2 linked regions of the Caenorhabditis elegans genome follow. The protein of the gene in region 1 purifies or fractionates together with the protein of each later gene. This does not show direct contact. Each region holds a gene or a part of one and is shown on either strand. Other genes may lie near its edges. The genes, in order: snrp-40.1 and aman-2.

The links.
Region 2: the proteins of snrp-40.1 (region 1) and aman-2 fractionate together in Caenorhabditis elegans (co-fractionation; one large-scale study listed by BioGRID). This does not show direct contact.

Annotation. Positions count from the first base shown.
Region 1 is NC_003284.9:11,297,341-11,301,679, forward strand, and holds snrp-40.1 (U5 small nuclear ribonucleoprotein 40 kDa protein), read right to left. Parts: upstream 2,445-4,339; 5' UTR 2,261-2,444; coding exon 2,245-2,260; intron 2,195-2,244; coding exon 2,127-2,194; intron 2,078-2,126; coding exon 1,979-2,077; intron 1,796-1,978; coding exon 1,039-1,795; intron 968-1,038; coding exon 912-967; 3' UTR 696-911; downstream 1-695. Other genes in the region: F08G12.3 (RasGEF domain protein), read left to right, coding at 2,964-3,336, 3,384-3,569, 3,823-4,173, 4,221-4,339.
Region 2 is NC_003283.11:11,927,183-11,935,433, reverse strand, and holds aman-2 (Alpha-mannosidase), read left to right. Parts: upstream 1-2,187; 5' UTR 2,188-2,206; coding exon 2,207-2,317; intron 2,318-2,366; coding exon 2,367-2,687; intron 2,688-2,729; coding exon 2,730-3,183; intron 3,184-3,230; coding exon 3,231-3,333; intron 3,334-3,380; coding exon 3,381-3,725; intron 3,726-3,773; coding exon 3,774-3,994; intron 3,995-4,537; coding exon 4,538-4,916; intron 4,917-4,966; coding exon 4,967-5,144; intron 5,145-5,195; coding exon 5,196-5,487; exon of another isoform or gene 5,488-5,555; coding exon of another isoform or gene 5,556-5,698; intron 5,699-5,749; coding exon of another isoform or gene 5,750-5,851; intron 5,852-5,919; coding exon of another isoform or gene 5,920-6,195; intron 6,196-6,277; coding exon of another isoform or gene 6,278-6,329; exon of another isoform or gene 6,330-6,384; intron 6,385-6,517; coding exon 6,518-7,268; intron 7,269-7,319; coding exon 7,320-7,602; 3' UTR 7,603-7,773; downstream 7,774-8,251. Other genes in the region: F58H1.8 (uncharacterized protein), read right to left, coding at 20-116, 169-285; F58H1.3 (Enolase-phosphatase E1), read right to left, coding at 448-696, 740-872, 929-999, 1,048-1,126, 1,179-1,315, 1,379-1,456; F58H1.2 (uncharacterized protein), read right to left, coding at 5,556-5,698, 5,750-5,851, 5,920-6,195, 6,278-6,329; osm-6 (Intraflagellar transport protein 52 C-terminal domain-containing protein), read left to right, coding at 8,028-8,057, 8,106-8,221.

The sequences.
Region 1 (4,339 bases):
GGCAAGGAATCGACAATTTGGTTTAATATCTGGTGTAATTTTTTTTTTTTTTTTTGAAAAAAAAGAATGAGCAAATATTTTAAATACGGTTGGTGTTTTTAAGTACGTCATTCATGTCCACTGCGAGAATCGGGAAATCATGCAGCTGCAATCAACCGTACAAGTACTTGTTTGCTCAATAAAAAACTGTGCACAGACATCCCATCATGGAATAGTTTAGTTTGGTCTGTATTAATAATCCAAGTATTAAACTCGATTGAAATCATACACGGTCGCGCCAAAATAACTGCTCCGTGGATACTGCTAATTTTATCTCGACACCGTTTGCAAGCATGGAGCGCGGTTTCTTAGATTTTTGTTTCAATCATATTCTATGCTTTTTTTAAATTGTAAAAGACTGAAAAGCTTGCATACGGCCCCTCGACTCAGTATGACAGTACTCAGGGAACGATCATTTTGATACGACTCAACTATAACACTTAAAAAAAGGAAAATATGCTTAAACTTGTTTTGCCATTTGACAAAAAAGAAAGAAAAAAGGAGAACTTGAGAATTAAACAATTGCCAGTAACTCGGAATGCGAATTGATACTTCTTCACGCATTGATAATTATCCATCCAATTGTTTACTCTAGAGCAATTGCGGTAAATTGATTAAATATTGACCTTCATCTTTCGCTGTTACCGCCTTCATCTTCTTTCGTATTTCCATTAAAACAATTTTTCTGGCGTACTTCAATTTTGAATTGCAAGAATTCATTTGATAAAACATGATCACTGAAAAATAAATAAAGAGAGTCGGACATAAAGTAAGTTCAAAAATTACATCAAAAAAGGAGATCCAGTGAAAAAAACAAAACAGAAAAATGACAAAAAACAAATTTAACCGGCGAATATGGATGTTTTGAATTTCTAGCTCATATCGATTTCTCCCAAGAAAACACGTTTGTCACTTCCACACGAGAGCACTGAAAAATTGAAATTATTGAATGGTCAAACAATGGAAATTTTAAATTTTTGTAATTTATTTTTAACTCACTGATAGGTTCCTTTGGGTGGAAATCGGTACAGTTGACACTTCCCATGTGACCTGGAAGCTTGTACACAATTTTTTTCGACAGTGTTTCCCAGACGTAGAGAAAACGATCCGACGAGCCAGCAGTGATGAATCTCTCACATGGCGACCAAGAACATTTGAGAAGGTTCTTCTCGAAATTGTGATTATGACCAGCAAAAACTCCCACCGAACGTTGTCCTGGTACGAATGGTCGAATATCCCATTGTCGAACAGTGCAATCCATTGAATTGGAAATGATGAATTTCCCACTTGGTGACAAAGAGATTCCAGTAATTGTGTCACGATGTCCAGTCAGAGTGTAAGTAATCTCGTCACGACGCATGTCCCAAACTTTGAGCACGTTGTCAATTCCACCACTAATCACTTGATCCGAAGAATCATTGAATGTAACTGCTGTCTGCTGGTATCGGTTGGTGTAAGTCTTCACTGGTTCCTTGGTTCTCATATCATGCACACGACATGTTCCATCGTCACTGGCAGAAGCGACAAGAGTTACACCACGACGAGACGGATGGACGGCGTTCACAAAGTCTGTGTGAGTTCTGAAGCGACGAGCGCAAGTCCCGGTTTCCATATCCCAGACACGAACACTTTTGTCTGTTCCACAAGAGACCAAACTGCTGCTGTCGGTGGTGAATTTTAAATCCATAACTGCTCCTGAGTGTCCTTTGATTGTAGAAAAGTTCTCGCATTCGCCGTATACATTCCAGAAGAAGATCTGCAAATCATTGCTTAAAAGGGTTGTTTAGTATGAAGGTAGTTTTATATTCGGTTTTTTCAAGACTATACAAAGTTCTACGTTCAATTGTTCTTATTTGCAAAGACCAATTAATAATTAAATCATAGAATTTAATATTTGAATATAAATTCTTGAGACCACAAGGATTTGAAAAAAACTCACTTTCTGGTCGTATCCACTAGTCGCTAAGCATGTTCCATCTGGGCTGAATGCACCGGTGTAAATTTCTCCTTCATGACCTAGCAAAACCATTGTTGGTGCCTGAAAATATAGATTTCTGTTTGTTGTTTGATAAATGTTTAATATTTACCATCAAATTGGAGAATCTCTGCGCAGTTTGCTGTGGAAATCCAGAGCTGACCAGTTGCTGTCCCGAAGCTGAAATGTTTTATAAAAATAAATTACACAAAATTATAAAATAAACTTACAAGTAACAAGAGCCATCGTTGTGTTGGTAAATGTTGGGTTCCACTGGAAAAACAAATTTGAACACTGGAAGACGTTTTCGAATAGACAATGACGATGCAGTGTGAGAAACGCGGAGACGAGTTGTAAATGCAATGCGGTGGAGCGCGTTTACATTTTCTAGTGCGCACACTTGCCGTTCGTCCTCCCTCCCTGGCAGCAGGTCGGGTCTCCTCTCAATGTCTGCCGGCGCTGAGAAGAGAGCATAGGAAAGAAGGAAAGTAAAAAGAAACAAAGAAGAGTGAGAAGAGCTGCTGTGTGGCAACCAACGACCGCATGGAAATTTGTGGAGGCCACGAGAAAGAGTGCACATTACAGAAAAAAAAACAAATTTTTGCCAACTAGGCAGAAGAGCGTGGTTCACACGGAGAGTGGAGACGACATGGAGATAAACATTGGATTCTGTCCGCTATCAGTTACCTTTAGACGTTATCAAGGCGAAAAAACGCTTGAGGCTACGTACGCATCAGGCTTGCCAAAAAAGGTTCCCCTGGCAACCTGCCAACTCTCCAAGCCATCTCCACTTTTCTTTCCTCCCATGCTGAATCTTTTGTACATTATATCAGTTTAGAGTTTTTTTCCGTTTCTCATTGTTGCTTTTTCGTTTTGATTGTTTTACATATAAATTCATATGTTTTCAGATACTCAGAATATATTTCTCAATCAATTCATTGCGGCACTGATGTTGCAAAGTGATCAAGAGCAATTGCTCCAGGCGCAGCAAGCGTTGAACAGGCTGAATCTTTATCAAATAACTCAGCGAATTGTTACGAATCAACAAAACCAATTTGTTACCCAACAACATGATCAATCAGTTCAACCAAACCATACAAGCAGCCCGGCCTACTATGACGAAAATATAAGAACACGAAATGAGGAAATAGACGGAGCGATTGAGTATCACAGAAATATCCAACCTTTGGAGCACATATCCACTTGTATACTCAATCACATTAATCAATTCTCAATGCAGGAAAAAATGGAGTGGTTACACGACCGACCAAAAGCCGTTGAGACTTTGCAACAACGTTCCACTGTTCTTCTGCATGAATTAAGTAAGTCAATTGTTAACACCAATAAAATAATGTAACAATAATTTCAGCAAACGTTGATGACTTTTCACGCTTGTTCGGTCTCATGAATTTTGGCGAGCGCCAAGTGGGTCTAACGTCAATCCAACAAGAGTATCAGAAAATCCATGCTGTTCTTCAAGAATATCTACAGTTCCAGCAAACTAAAACTATATTGCTTTTGGCTGCACGAATCTTTGGATCGTCTTTACTCAATGGTGGGTTTGAGTTTACAATTTTTACGTGCTGAGTTGTACATCAAAATTTTAACTTTCAAAAAATATAAATTAAGTATTTTCTAGCAAACAAATTGTCAACGTTAGCGTATCTAGCTGAATATGAAATTTGGTTGTTTAGTGCCATTTTTATTTTTGTTAACAATGAAAACTTTGAAGCTATATTTATGTAAAAGTCAGCTAATTAAGCAACAAAACTACAAAATATGGAGGTTTACGTAGAATTTCAATTCAGCAGTTCCAAATAATCAGCTTGCTCAACTGATGTACACTTTCCCGAAACCTGAAGGTGCAATGCAAACCCTCAATTATAATGTTCACAATGGGCTTGGACCATCAACACTCAGCTCACCAGGAAAGATTAAGGAGAAAAAAAGCTTCACCCAATATAGGAAGATTAATGAACGGTTCTCTCAAACAAAATCACCTACCTTATACACAAACATCTTCGGCGAAACTTCGATGTCAGTTATGAACGCAGCCAATGCCATCAGATCCTGGGAAGACAGAAAAGCTGTTGCAGAGCATATTCATACCTATGTTGAGAAGAAAAGTTTACTTCACGAATTCGTTCGCAAAATTTCAAGTGAGATTGAGTTCAAGTTTATAAAAGCGTCAATACTTTTTTTGCAGATATTGGACTTCGAGAGCTCAGTGGTTTCTTTGGGGCAGCAAGAAAACCACTTCCATGGGATGCAAAGGAAAATCAAATCTTTGAGATGGTTTTCCCAAAGTTAGCTGTCTTTTTATAC
Region 2 (8,251 bases), on another chromosome or scaffold:
TTGAAAACATAAATCTTACCAACATCTCTATAAATCAATGCCCATTCCTTTTCGTCGACGTTGTCTTTTTGGTGGGCTTTTCGAATATTGTCTCTATCGAAATTTTCTCGCTCTTCCTGCAATTTTTTTAATCTTTATTCAAAGTTTTTTTCAATATTTTCAACTTACAGCCAGTAGAAAATTTTTAATTTTATCGAAAACGCTTGAAGACGGACGAGAAGTACAAATTCCTCGATATAGATGCAATGAACTTTGATTTAAATTTTGAAAACACCGTATTATCATTCTGAATTCAAATTCGGAGTTTTGAATATTCAAAAAAGCTGTAAATATATTTATGAGACCAATGAAAACTCGAAATAAGCTAGAAAACCAATTTTTACACCGAAGGCTTTATTAAAGATCTCCAAACAATGTTTCAGGAAAGAATACAATGAATACAAAGAATTACAAAATTTCTTCCAAACTTTCAATGGTTCCGTAGGCGTTTATAGCTTCTTGTGTTAGACCCGCATTTCCAGGACGAACTACTAACTTTGTCTGTAACCCAGCTTTCTTGGCAGCAGCCGCTTCTGCTTCAACATCAGTCAGGAATAGTATTTCACTGGGAGGAATTTTAATTCGCTCGCTGATTTTCGTGTATGAATTGCTTTCTCCCTTCAGACCGATATTTGTGTCAAAGTAGCCATAGAGAATCTGAAAGAAAACATTAAAATGGATTGTGGAAAGAATATTATACTTTGGTCATATCTCCTTCAATTGAATTGGCAAACAAGAGCTTTTGAGCGTGGACCGATCCCGATGAGTAGATGTAGATCGGGATTTTTCTATTTTCAACAATTTTCAAAACTGGTAAAACGTCCGGATATACACTGAAATTGTAAAATTATACAATACGTGTTACTTATTTATTGTCGATTTTACTTACTGTCCTTTCACATCTCCGCGCTGGTAAGCCTCTTCCCAAATGAGCCCCTGGAGAGCTTTCATTGGTGTCAGCTGGAAAATATTGAATTTTAAACACCTTTTCTCAAATACTCTATAAACTTTTTTGTCTCTTTTTATCCAGTGTCTGACATTTTTTGTTACATCCTCAATGCATTCCTTTCTTGGTTCGCGGATCCGCCTGTAAAGTACATAAATTCGATAAAAACAAGCTGTGCAAATTAAATACTAACACAACTGCCACATCATTTTCCGCTTGTTGGTCTGCAATGTGCCTCAAATCTTCAACAATTATTTGAGTTGCTGGATTGTCGTAGTGCTCCTCCAAATAATTTCCAACGTTCTCGAACGCGTATGGAAAAAGCTCATCCTGTAAAAATAAAAACTTTAATTGATAATCAAATGGAAGAAATAGAATAGAAGAAAAAATAACCTTAACAAAGGAGATACTGGTTATTGTACCCTCAATATCTAGGAGCAGCGCGTTGAATTGAATAGTAGTGGTTGTCATGACTGGAATGCGGCTGGAATTTTCAAGAATTGGGCTATTTTGAACTAAATTAGTAGTGAAAGTGATGAAGAAAAATGGTTGTTTTCGTTTTTGTCATGATTTTTGAAACCAGAAAAGAGATGACATTAAAATAGATGAATATTGATTGTGAATAAAAGACAGTGCAAGGAACTTTGCAAAGATAGACGATAAACTACTGATAAGAGCGCAATATTGACGATTATTAATATTTGAAAATATGATGTAGACATTTGGCCTATTTTCTGACTAAATTAGTTATTTTTAATAGTTTCAAACCACATAAAAATGCAAAAAAAAGGAAATTAAGAGGGTTTTTGTGCAATACTTTTGTGAGAGAAAAAAATGTGTCGAGACACCTCTGTGCCGGAGAAACGGATTTCCAGAGAACATTGTTTCGCCATATTTATGTATATTTAGAAAATGATTTTAAGAATTTTTGAATAAATAACAATTTTACAATTATTTTCTTTTTGAATGTTATTAAATACATCACAATTAAAAAGCTAAGTACAAAATTCTTTCTTGAAACTGTGGTTCTCCAAAGTCACAATTCCTCTTTTAGTGAGGTCAGTACTATGCCACCTCGCTCCATTGTAAACACATATTTTATTGGAGAGAACAACTTATTTTATTGGACATGCCGTTACATTTTCTGAACCTGTTTTATTTTGTCTTTGATTGATTATCATATATAACTGAATAATTTTCAGCCTGATGGCAAGATAAAGCATGGGAAAACGCAATTTCTATATTATCCTATGTTTGGGAGTCTTTCTCACCGTATCACTCTATTTGTACAATGGAATTGAAACCGGAGCTGAAGCGCTCACCAAACGACAAGCAAGTTTTCAAATTAAGATTATAATAATATGACTTAAATTTATTTCAGAGATATGTAGATGATTTACGGCGGAAAATCGGAAATTTGGAGCATGTAGCAGAAGAAAATGGAAGAACGATAGACCGCTTGGAACAAGAAGTTCAACGAGCAAAAGCTGAAAAATCGGTAGATTTTGATGAAGAAAAAGAAAAAACGGAAGAAAAAGAAGTAGAAAAAGAGGAAAAAGAAGTTGCACCAGTTCCAGTTCGAGGAAATCGTGGTGAAATGGCTCATATTCATCAAGTAAAGCAACATATCAAGCCAACTCCATCGATGAAAGATGTTTGTGGAATTAGAGAAAACGTCAGCATTGCTCATTCAGACCTGCAGGTAGAATTTTATTTATATTTTAATAAAATTTGTTTTTTTAAGATGCTCGATCTCTATGACACCTGGAAGTTCGAAAATCCAGACGGAGGTGTATGGAAACAAGGATGGAAAATTGAATACGATGCAGAGAAAGTCAAATCTCTTCCACGTTTGGAAGTTATTGTGATACCTCATTCTCATTGTGATCCCGGATGGATTATGACTTTCGAAGAGTATTACAACAGACAAACTCGCAATATTCTTGATGGAATGGCTAAACATTTGGCAGAAAAAGACGAAATGCGGTTTATATATGCAGAAATATCATTTTTCGAAACTTGGTGGAGAGACCAGGCAGATGAAATTAAAAAGAAAGTTAAAGGATATTTGGAAGCAGGAAAGTTTGAAATTGTTACTGGCGGATGGGTTATGACAGATGAAGCTAATGCACATTATCACTCAATGATCACTGAATTGTTCGAAGGACATGAATGGATTCAAAATCATTTGGGAAAAAGTGAGTAAAAGTTTTTTTTTTGAATATTGCATAAATTGAATATTTAGGCGCCATTCCACAATCTCATTGGTCAATTGATCCATTCGGTTTATCACCATCAATGCCACATCTTCTAACTTCTGCTAATATAACCAATGCTGTAATTCAAAGGTATGAACATTATTTTTTAAAAATAGTAAAATATTTTCAATTTCCAGAGTTCATTATTCGGTGAAACGTGAGCTTGCTCTGAAAAAGAATCTTGAATTCTACTGGAGACAATTATTTGGATCAACTGGACATCCTGATCTTCGTTCACATATTATGCCTTTCTACTCTTACGATATACCTCATACGTGTGGCCCAGAACCGTCTGTTTGCTGTCAATTCGATTTCCGTAGAATGCCAGAAGGTGGAAAATCATGTGATTGGGGAATCCCTCCACAGAAAATTAACGATGACAATGTGGCTCACAGAGCTGAAATGATTTATGATCAATATAGAAAGAAAAGTCAACTTTTCAAGAATAATGTGATTTTCCAACCACTTGGAGATGATTTCAGGTGAGATTTTATTTCTTAATCTAGAAACTAATAGTGCTCTCTATTTAGGTACGACATTGATTTTGAATGGAATTCACAATATGAAAACTATAAGAAATTGTTCGAATACATGAATTCCAAATCAGAATGGAATGTTCATGCTCAATTCGGAACTCTTTCTGATTATTTCAAGAAGCTTGATACTGCAATTTCTGCGTCTGGCGAGCAACTTCCAACTTTTTCTGGAGATTTCTTCACTTATGCGGACAGAGATGATCATTATTGGAGTGGTAAGCATCAGGACAGAATCCAAAAATTCTTGTTTTCGAAGACGAAAAAAAAAGTTTTTTTTAATTTGAGAAAACGAAAACGAAAAAGGTTTTTCACCAAAAACACGAAAAAAATAAAACTTTGAAAAGTGATTTTGAAAAACTTTAATTTCGAGTGTAATTTTTTGGAAAAATGTAAAATTTAAAGTTTTATTCGTTTTCAATATTCCAGATTTTTTCTCTTTTTTTTTGTTTTTTTTTTTGAAAAAAGCAAACAATTATTTTTTTGGCCAAACACGAAACACAAAATAAACAAAACATTTTGTAAGATTGAAAAGCAATTTTGAAAAACTTAAACATCTATGTATCAAAAGTGTACTCTTTTTATAATTTCAAGTGTAGATTCTAGTTTTTCTGTTTTTCAGTATATCAAAGTTTTTCGCTTTTTTGTTCACTTTATTTTTTTGAAAAAAGCGAGAAATAAATGTATCGCTAAACAACTTCAAAAAAAACGAAAAAAAATAAATAACTAACAAAATTTTTTACCGCTTTACGAATTTTCAGGATACTTCACTTCCCGTCCATTCTATAAACAGCTTGATCGGGTTCTCCAACATTATTTAAGATCAGCTGAAATCGCCTTTACCCTTGCAAATATTGAAGAAGAAGGAATGGTTGAAGCGAAAATTTTTGAGAAGCTTGTGACTGCTCGACGAGCTCTTTCACTTTTCCAACATCACGATGGTGTAACTGGTACGGCAAAAGATCACGTCGTCTTGGATTATGGTCAGAAAATGATTGATGCTTTGAACGCATGTGAGGATATTCTTTCGGAAGCTCTTGTTGTATTGCTGGGAATTGATTCAACGAATAAGATGCAGATGGATGAGCATAGAGTTAATGAAAACCTTCTACCCGAAAAACGTGTCTATAAAATTGGGCAGTGAGTTTTTTAATGTCTCCATTTTCATTGATTAATTGTATTTCTTACAGAAACGTCGTATTGTTCAATACTTTATCTAGAAATCGCAACGAGCCAATTTGTATTCAAGTTGATTCTCTTGACGCTGGTGTCGAAGCTGATCCTCCAATTAAAAAACAACAAGTTTCGCCGGTTATTGCATATGATGAAGAGAAGAAAACGCTTGTTGTCAAAAACGGAATATTCGAAGTAATTTATAAAGGATTATCCTGAAAGTGACCATATAATCATGTCTTTCAGCTTTGCTTCATGTTATCACTTGGACCAATGGAGTCTGTCAGTTTCAGACTTGTGAAAAATACAACAACATCCAAAGTTGAAATAATCACCAATAATGCGGCAGAATTCAAAGAAACAAGTTTTAAATCTTCATCCACTTCTGGAGACTTTACTGTGAAAAACGACAAAGTTGAAGCTGAATTTGATGGAGAAAATGGAATGATTAAAAGAGCTACCAGTCTTGTTGATGATAAACCAATTGATTTGAATTCTCACTTTATTCATTATGGAGCACGGAAGTCAAAGAGAAAGTGTAAGTAATTAGATTTATTATTTGAAGATTATTAGAATATTTAGAACTATTATTAAATCTGAATGTTGTTAGTAATAGTAACGGGCTGATCGAACAGCGCGTTGAGTAGCTCTGAATGGAAGACGAGAGACAGTTGGTCCCTGGTATACTGTAGGAGAAGATCCATAGGATCCCATGGCCAGTGGAATCACCATTGGGTATCCAGAAGTTTCTAAAGATCATTAATGAATTAATAAAAATGAATTGATATCTGTTGACTCACTTGGGTACATTGGATATCCATTGAGTAGTAATGGTTGACCACCTCCCATCATCATATCAGATGCAGCGAAACGAGGCTTATACATGTTAGATCCATACGTATCTGAAGTTTTGAAATTTCCGATTTTATTAGGATAATGTGTGATTTCCACACAAGGTATTAAATCTCACCCATTCCCATCATACTGCTAGAAAGTCCATACGGCATCTGTTGCATTCCTTGCATGTTATGGATACTCTGAATTCCTTGCATTCCCTGTAATCCTTGAAATCCTCCCATAGAACTCATTGATCCCATGGACGACATCATTGGGTTACCCGAACCAGAATAGAATGAACTTCCGCTCATTCCGGGTCTACGAATATAGACTTCATCACGTTCATAAGGATTTCCATATCCTGAACGAGATCCCGAAGATGAGTAGACGTTATAAATAAATGGGTCGGCTGAAATAAGGGATTAAATAATATTTATCATTTTGTACGCATCCTAGTGCAGTTTATGAAACAAAATATTTCAGTAACTCACCTGAAACTGCGGATACAGCTAGAATAACTGCAGCTGCATAGAACATCACCATTCCTGCGTAGAAGCGCGAAATGATACAAATCAGCCGTTGACATGATAAACAAGTGATTGAAATAAGGCGATTTGGGTCAAGAGATGCATCCGTTCTTCACTCCTCTTCACTCTCTCACTTCTCATCCCTTCAAAATCTAGGCTTTTCCTCCAAATCTTTTGTTCGCTTTAAAAATGTTTTTCTTTCAGTCGCAAATGGAAATGAAGACAACCCGGCTGGCGCATACCTGTTCCTTCCCGATGGAGAAGCTAGAGAACTCAAAAAACAATCAAGTGATTGGATATTGGTAAAAGGAGAAGTTGTTCAAAAAGTGTTTGCAACTCCAAACAATGATCTGAAAATATTGCAAACGTACACACTTTATCAAGGGCTTCCATGGATTGATTTGGATAATGAAGTTGATGTACGTTCCAAGGAGAATTTCGAGTTGGCACTGAGATTCAGTTCTTCAGTAAATAGTGGTGATGAGTTTTTCACTGATCTCAATGGAATGCAAATGATAAAAAGGAGACGACAAACTAAATTACCAACACAGGCCAATTTCTATCCCATGTCTGCTGGTGTTTACATTGAAGACGATACTACCAGAATGTCAATTCATTCGGCACAGGCTCTCGGAGTTAGCAGTCTCTCGTCGGGACAAATTGAAATAATGCTTGATCGACGACTTAGTTCAGATGACAACAGAGGTCTTCAGCAAGGAGTTAGAGACAACAAACGAACAGTTGCACATTTCCGTATTGTTATTGAGCCGATGTCTTCATCGAGTGGTAATAAGAAGGAAGAACGAGTTGGATTCCATTCACATGTTGGTCATCTCGCTACGTGGTCTCTTCATTATCCTCTTGTCAAAATGATTGGAGATGCAACACCAAAATCTATTTCTTCGAAAAATGTGGAACAAGAGCTGAACTGTGACCTGCATCTAGTGACATTTAGGTGTTAAAAAATCTGAAATCTACAGTAACCCTCATCTTTAATCATTTTCAGAACACTGGCATCGCCGACAACTTACGAAGCCAACGAAAGATCTACGGCAGCTGAGAAGAAAGCAGCGATGGTGATGCATAGAGTTGTTCCAGACTGTAGATCCAGGCTTACCCTCCCAGACACGTCATGCTTAGCTACTGGATTAGAAATTGAGCCACTCAAATTGATCTCGACACTGAAGTCTGCGAAAAAAACGTCACTAACCAATCTTTATGAAGGAAACAAGGCTGAACAATTCCGACTCCAACCAAACGATATTTCCAGTATTCTTGTATCATTTTAATTTTATAATTGCTTATATGTAGTAGTTATATTTTCAGTTTTCATTACATTTCATGGGTATTTATTTATTAACTATAATCTTGTATAAGACGATGTAATTATGAAACAACGATTTCACACTTCCGGTTTTCATGTAAAATTTTTTTCGTTCCAAATAAATTGTTATAAAATTAATTACATCTTTCATCAAACTTCAAAAATGAAATTGCATTTTTAATAATTAGGAGTCTATTACGGAATTCATTAAATTTCAGAAAACAAAGTTAACTATATATTTCTCTAGTAGTTCCTTTCCCAGGAGACCCTTCCAAGATTTGTATCCACATGTTACCATAGTAACCACTCATTGCTTCTCGCTCACATTGTCTGCTCCCTCTCTTGGGGCTTATATCTCTTTCAAGCTATTACCTTCATTAGTATACATCTATGCCTCCATTTTCAGACGAAAAGATGACTGTAAGTATTAGATTTTAGTTTTCGCATTTTATTATTTCCATTTTCCAGAACCGGAGTATTGGGAGAAAAGTTCTGATTGATCAATCAAAACAGCAACAAATTAGTTTGATTAGTGGTTTTCGTGGTGTGGCAAGACATTTAAAAAGTGTTCTTACTGTTGAAATGTGAGCTTTTTTGGAATATTTAACATTTTA